Linked DNA regions of Oryctolagus cuniculus. The protein of the gene in region 1 purifies or fractionates together with the protein of each later gene. This does not show direct contact. Links are inferred from orthologs where the notes say so. Each region holds a gene or a part of one and is shown on either strand. Other genes may lie near its edges. The genes, in order: ADRA1D and CTNNAL1.

Evidence for each region.
Region 2: the proteins of ADRA1D (region 1) and CTNNAL1 purify together in Homo sapiens (tandem affinity purification; 3 studies listed by IntAct, with this or other methods). This does not show direct contact. The link is inferred for Oryctolagus cuniculus from reciprocal best matches to the Homo sapiens genes ADRA1D and CTNNAL1.

What each region holds. Positions count from the first base shown.
Region 1 is NC_091442.1:29,485,383-29,489,196, reverse strand, and holds part of ADRA1D (alpha-1D adrenergic receptor), read left to right. Parts: intron 1-2,811; coding exon 2,812-3,437; 3' UTR 3,438-3,814. UniProt on the Homo sapiens protein: This alpha-adrenergic receptor mediates its effect through the influx of extracellular calcium.
Region 2 is NC_091432.1:212,649,104-212,652,594, reverse strand, and holds the end of CTNNAL1 (alpha-catulin), read left to right. Parts: intron 1-599; coding exon 600-656; intron 657-782; coding exon 783-896; intron 897-1,563; coding exon 1,564-1,647; intron 1,648-1,791; coding exon 1,792-1,851; 3' UTR 1,852-2,741; downstream 2,742-3,491. UniProt on the Homo sapiens protein: May modulate the Rho pathway signaling by providing a scaffold for the Lbc Rho guanine nucleotide exchange factor (ARHGEF1).

The DNA.
Region 1 (3,814 bases):
TTGTTTCTACGTGGGATTTATTGTGGGAGGGCTCTCGGAAGGCCCCCAAGAGGGAGGGATGTAGCCTCAGATGCAGTCTGGCCTCAGGCTGGCCCCATGGGGTCCCTGGAGCAAGGAAGCCAGCACAGAATGAGGCTGTGAGACCTGTCCTGTCCACCCATCAGCTTGTCATTGGCTGCAGGCTGCCCCCTGAGGGGCAGGGGTCTCCCCAGGTTAAAGCGGCCCCCATTGGCCCAGGGCAGGCTCTCCAGTGAAGGGGGCAGTGGTGAGCCTTTGGCAGCCAACTGCCCCAGCAGCTGGGGCTGAGGCACCCAGGTGGGACCCCAAGAGCACCAGCATTAAGTCTGCAGGGGGACTTTAGAGCAGAGGCTCGAGGGTGGCGAAGGAGATGGCTCAGCAGCTATCCGGGCTCCTCCCAGGAGCTGGGGCAGTTTAATGCTCTCTCCAGGGAGCAGGCCATCAACCTGGCCTTCTGAGTGCTGCCGGGTACCCTTGAGGCCACAGGGAAGGCAATGAATGCCATACAGCAGAGCACAGGGCGCCCAAGGCCCACACTCACCAAAAACCACTACCACCACCTGCCCAGACCGTGGGAGTGGGCTTAATCAGACAAAGCTCCTTGCAGCAGGGGAGGCCAGGCCAAACATGAAGGGGAGGAGTCCCCTGTGGGGAGAGCAGGAGGGCTGCCCTCCCCACTGGAGAGCCACGTGACAGCAGACGGGCGTGGGCCTGCCACTCCTGGGGCTGCCACTGGGAGGAAGAAAGCCAGTGGCTGTGGCTCCGGACCCCAGGGCCCCCAGAAGGCGAGGGAAAGTTCAGGTTCTGTCTGTAGTGATGTGCTGGGAAGGGCAAGAGCTTGAGGGCCATACCGACTCAGACGCGTGTCCTGACGTTGCCACATGGCCACGCTGCCCGGGATGTCCTGGGGCTTCCGTGAGAAGTCCGTCAAGGGCCTGGCATGGGACTAGGTGGTGCCGAGCTCTCAGGAATTCCTCAGCTCCGGCTGGAGAAGTTCAGAGAGCTGCTGCAGAAAGTGGGGAACAGGCAAGGGAGGGGAGCTGAGACGGCGGGAAACAGTGCAAGGAGCCCCGTGTGCTCGGGGCTGGCTCAGTGGCTCCGGGTTAGCACCTGGCTGGATGAGGCCAGCGTGAGTCTGGAACACGTGGGCAGGGCAGGCCCGAGGAGAAGGTGGCTGTAGTGCTAGTGCGTGGCCCCCCAGCTGCTGTGCGGAGATGAGGCTGTGGGGACACAAGGACAGGGGCAGGGGACCGCGTAGGACACTGCCTGGGAGACGAGGGTGGTGGTGCGGAGTTGGGGGGACTTAGGGCTCTGCAGGAGTTGGTGGTGGATGAGATGCAGGCTGTGATAGAAGGAAGAATCCTGGAATGTGCCAGGCACCTCCCGTGTGCCACACGCGGTGTGGGCAGCTTGGGCAGCAAACAGTTGCCCTCAGGGTTCTTAGCAGTGCGATGTGCTGGGGGGAGGGCGAGGCAGTACAAATGACTTGGCTGGGTCAGGACAGGGAGGTGCAAGGAAGGCATCCAGGAGGAGGTGCCAGTGGGGCTGGCACTACCAGGAGGCAAAGTGAGGGCATTCTGGGGAGATCGTGTGCCAAACAGCCAGAGGCAAGAGCAGGGAGCCAGTGTGCCGCGGAGGCCCGTTGGCCCCTTGGCTACTGCACATGCAGGCAGAAGTAAGGCTGCACAGGGACCCTCGGGCCACGAGACAGAAGGGGGTGAGGCTGGGGGCTGGAGAGGTGGGCGGCCAAGGGAGCAGCACACGGGAGCCCCCCTCGCAAGCAGTGGCACAGCCGGACTTGATTTCAGCGAGAAAGGCTGTGGACGGTGTGGGGTGGGAGCAAGAGATCTCCCTAGGGAAGAGAAGGAGGCTGCTGGGCACTGGGAGAGTGTGGCCTTGGCCCCAGCACCTCCATCTGCCCACTGAGGCTTTCCCGAGGCTGGGGTAGAGGAGCTGGCAAAGATGTGCAAAGGGTGAGGAGGTGAGGCAGCTGGCCGACCCAGAAGCATAACTCAGAGTGACGGGCAGACAGGAACACTGGTCATAGCAGACAAGGGCTTTGTGCATCGACGCCCTCCAATGGTACAGCAGTGATACAGGGACTGTGCCATGAGCCCCAGTCCTACACTCATGGTGCGCAATGGGGAGGGATATGCCCGCAGCTCCCTCTGAGACCCCTGCAAGAAACCATGGGCTGATAAAGAGAGGAGCAGCAGGGAGAGGGAGGCAGGGAGGTACAGGTGTAGACTGGGCACCCAGGCAGAGGTGGGGGTGAGGCTCACCCCTGCTGCCTGCGAGAGGAACAGAGGGAGCGGGAGCGTCTGTTGGGAGCTGTTGAGTGTGGCCTGAGGAGCCCCCGGCCCAGCGTCTCTGCTCTAGGCACAGTGTGGGCAGTGAGCAAATCAAGTTGTGGCCGCTGATGCTGCCCACTCACACCCCCAGACCTCCCATGCACATGGGCCAGCTTCTACCTGAACACTTGCCTACGTCCTGGCCAGGGGCTGCCTCTGCCACCAACATCCCTGCCGTCCTCCAGGTAGGAGGCCGGCAGCCCAACGGATGACTAATGGGAACAGGTGTGAAAAACACCCGCTGATGGGAGCCCTCTGAGATCTGTGCTCGTCTCCCTGAGCTCGCCAGTGGGGTTACGCCCCAGTCATGTCGCTCTGGGGATGATGAACTTGACAACACACCTGTCCTTGGCTTCCTGCTCTTCCCTCTTCTGCCCATTCCACCCTGGGTGTCTCACTGATGCCCGCAAATTAACAGCTTGTGTTTGAACGCTTGTCACAGAGTCTGCTTCTGGGAGAGCCCAAGGAAAAGCAAACCTCGGCAGGATACAGGAGGGAAACCGTGGGCCCAGAGAACTGAGGCTAAACCCCAGCTCCTTCCTGTGCACGGAGCTCCCAGCTCACCGCAGACTCCTGCCCAAGCCTCCTGAGCACAAACAGAATATGAACGCTACAGCAAGACCCCAGCCCCGCTGCTCACCCATCCTGATCAACGCAGGCTGGTATCACTGTCCTCTGGCCAGCTTCAGGCTCACCCCTGGAAAGCACAGTCCACGGATTTGTCATCCTGGGCTAAATATAAAAGGCTCGGAGCCTGAGTCACAGGGCTATTTTCAGCACTCTGTCTTGCTTTGCACCGTTGAGGGGTGCTGTTCTGGAGGGCCACCTTCCTGGAGGCTGAAGTCCATCAACCCTGCTGGCCCCCACATCCCAGAAAGCACCTTGGGCCCTCGAACCCGTCGGCTCTCAGCCACTGTGTCTGGCCACTGTCCAGGCCCCAGCCCAGGGCCGAGGGCGCCTCTCTCTGGGAGGATGCAGAAGTGGGGAGGAGCGGGCAGAGAACAGACACAGGTATTTAGCGGGAGCCTGCTGAGTGCTGGGCTCTGGAAGGGAAAGAGGGGACGTTGATGGCCAAATAAGTGCTCAGGGCGCTGTGAGCGGGAGTGGAAACAGCTGTGCTATGGGATGTGTGTGTGCCCTTCCTCCCAGGGTCCCTCTGTGGTGGGATGGAGGGTTGCAGGAGTCCCCAGGTCCTCGGTAGGGGACCCTGCTCCTCTTTCTTTTGGAGAACGGGGAAGAGAGAGAAGATGGCATGATTTGTCAAGGCCCGCCTCACACCCCGGCCTGCTTGGTCTCACAGGCCCCTGTGGCCCCCCGCCAGGATCCAGCTTCCTGGCCGCCTGTTGCCCTCCATCCACTGCTGACCAGGATGAGAAAGATGGCCTCTGCTTCCCTGGTTGTGCCTTGGCATCTGGCCGTGAGGTCTCTGGTGGGGATGTCAGGGA
Region 2 (3,491 bases), on another chromosome or scaffold:
CCCCCTGTTCTTTTTCTTTACAAATCACTCCCAGAATTACCCTGTTCTCCACATTATTATTGCCAACCACCTAAATCTAAGTCTTTATCTCTTTATTCTCCTGGTGTCTCTCACTCTAAAATATTCTACATATCATTTTTTTAAAAACATTTGTTTTATTTTTTTGAAAAGCAGAGTTACAAAGAGGGAGGCAGGAACTCCATCTGGGTCTCCCAAGTGGGTTCAGGGGTCCAAGCAATTGGACCTTGTTCCGCTGCTTTCCCAGGCACATTAGTAGGGAGCTACATTGGAAGTAGAGCAGCTAGGACTCAACTCAGCACTCATATGGCATGCTGGTATTGGAAGTGGTGACTTAACCCACTGCACCACAATGCCTACCCCTCTACATACCATTTTAACATAATATTCTAAAGATCCCTATCTTACCTGCACAAGTTCTTCTCCATCATCCTCTTCTCAGGATGCATAGTGAATTGTCACCACCTTTTTATAGTTGGTGATTTTTATGATGAGTATGTGTAGGTTTCATTAGTAAGTATATTTCTTATCAACTACTTGTGGGTATCATTTAAAACAGTAATGTTTTCCCTTCCCACCAGGTTTTTGCTGCGGAGGGTTTAAAGTTTACTTCAAGTATCCAAGGTTTTTCAAAACAGGTAACTCTTGTCTCTCTGCCTGGTGCTGGTTATAGTATCCTAGATACCCACTGGCATAGTATTAAGGTATCAAGATATTTAAGGTATTTCGTTGGGGGTGTTATAACTTCCTAAATTACATTTCAGCTGAAAGATGATGACAAACTTACGCTTCTCCTGGAAATAAACAAGCTAATCCCTCTATGCCACCAGCTCCAGACAATAACCAAGACATCTCTGCAGAATAAAGTACTTCTCAAGGTAAAGCAGAGGGAGGGAGTTACTCAGGTAGACTTTGAGAAACTTGCATACTTCTGTCTTTATCATATTTGCTCCAGGCTGTTTTTTCTTCAAAGAAAGTGTTAATACCTGCAGAGGCACAATTTATTTACATATTTCCCAATTTGATGGCAAGAATCTTTTATTATCTGCTTTTGTAACTGACCCCAGAGAGCAACACATTCACTGAATGAATTGGCTTTTTGGACAGGATTAATTCCATAGCACTGGCAGCTACTGCTAAATCCTGTCATCATCACCTGTCTGACCTGGGCATGAGTGCCTCCAAGGCTGGGCTCCCAGAATTTGTCTAAGGATATGTGGGTTTTTGCCCACAGAGCAGAGTGCAAGGAATGCCAAAGCAGGGAATTTGCTGTCACTATTTGGAGCATTTTGAGTAGCTCCTGAGTAGTCTGAAGGAGCACAGTTGCTTTTCCACCCATTCTTCCTGGGTGGAAACAGGAGTAAGACCTGGGTGACAACGCTGCACTTGTGTTCTGGGGCCTTGAGTCAGCTCCTGTGATCTCTGTACCTTCCAGACCCTTTGTAGTTCCACAATGGAGAAATGCCATTTTCACATCAACTATATGATAAAGTTTTGTGAATTCCCACTTGTAGAATACGATTTGCACGCTTTCTGTCACTATAGGTTGACAAATGTATTACAAAGACAAGATCCATGATGGCGCTCTTGGTTCAACTTCTTTCACTTTGCTATAAACTGCTGAAGAAGGTAAGGCAGTTTTTCTATCTTCAACTCATATTTGAAAAGTTAAAGGAAATTGCAAAAAAAAATTAGTAATTACTACTAATTTTGCAGCTTTTTTTTTTTCAGAATAAAGCAGAAATTAATTGTCTTAACTCTTTCTAACTTCAGACAGAAAATGTCAGATGGGTCTCGGTTACAAATAAAGACACCGTGGATGGTAAAACCTGAGAAGATTTTGGAGTCCAGTTTTTGCAACATCTCTGGCAAAGCCGACATTTTTAAAAAGCAAATTATACTTTAAGAAATTCAACACATTTATAAAGAAAACAATACTGAAATCCTGCTTTATTTTCTGATCATGAAACTGGTTGTGAAGCTTTTGACGACTAATAATTGCCCTAATAGCAGTAAGAATTTTAATTGCAGTGTGATTTTAAAATGTAACATTGCATTAAAACTGTAAAAGTCAAACCAAATATCCCAGATGTCTTAATGACAACTCCATCCAAAGAAGCTATTTTGAATATGCACTCGCCTTTGGCATACTTTACTTTAACTGTTTTCTTATTTAAGCCTATCATCTAGAACACTAATTTCAGCAGAAAATATACAGCAGTTTGGGTGAACACAGGGTTTTGCTATAACAAATGGACTCTTCTTCAGTCCCTGTGTCCACCAAGTGTGACAAAATCCCCTCTGATGCTCCCTCTATCGCAGATCATGCTACTGGCCAGAGTTTGTTCTCTAAGAAATGTTTCACAGAGCAAGGGCTAACTGCTGCACTGCATGTACTTCTGAGCTCCTGAAAGCTGAGTACAGGAACCCACTCCACGGAATCCTGGAGGGAGCAATTCCTGGGGAATAGCAGATAGCCGTCTTCTGGTCCTAGGTCTAGCATAGCTAGCCAGTCTGCCCTGAATACTAGCTGTAATACTAAGCCTATTTTCCTGGCTTAAAAAATAGTTTTGATCTATTCTTCTCAGTATTGATATAATGGAAAAGAAGACAGAAGGATGGAACCAAGAAGCTGTTTAGATTTTGAGTAATTATACATTTTATAATGTGGCCCTGGAATGTGCATTACAAAATAAACAAACATCTTTATTTAGTCATTTTAATTCGTGTTGAAAACTTGTTTTTGTGCTGTGAGTTTTGATGGAAAGATCTGGCTGATAGGTTTTCTCTGCATGTTATACTATGATTGACTTTGTTTTGAGCTCATTTCATAGTGTTTGCATCCCTTGCTTTGAAATTCATTTTGATATCTGATGGGTCATGTCCTTGCCACGTGGCAGTAGATAGATGAGTCTGATGATTTTTCTGTGTCAGCCACCACAATCAAGATTCACGGATTTTGAAGAACCACAAGACTAATGATATTTTACTGAAGAAAACTTTGTTTTTTAAAGATGTATTTACTTGAAAGTCAGTTACACAGAGAGAAGAAGAGGCAGAGAGAGAGAGAGGTCTTCCATTCGCTTCTTCCGAGTCCCCCATGTGGGTGCAGGGGCCCAAGGATCTGGGCCATCTACTGCTTTCCCAGGCCATAGCAGAGAGCTGGATCGGAAGTGAAGCAGCTGGGACTTGAACCAGTGCCCATATAGGATGCTGACACTGCAGGTGTCGGCTTTACCCGCTATGCCACAGCCCTGTACCCTGAAGAAAACTTAAAAAAAAGATTTATTTGGGGACAGGTGCTGTGGCGAAGCAGGTTGAACCACCACCTACCTGCATTACGGGCATCCCATTTGGGTGCCTGTTCGAGTCCCAGCTGCTCCACTTCTGATCCAGTTCCCTGTTAATGTGCGTAGGAAAGCAACAGAGGATGGCCCAAATGCTTGGGCCCTCAAACCCACATGGGAGACCAG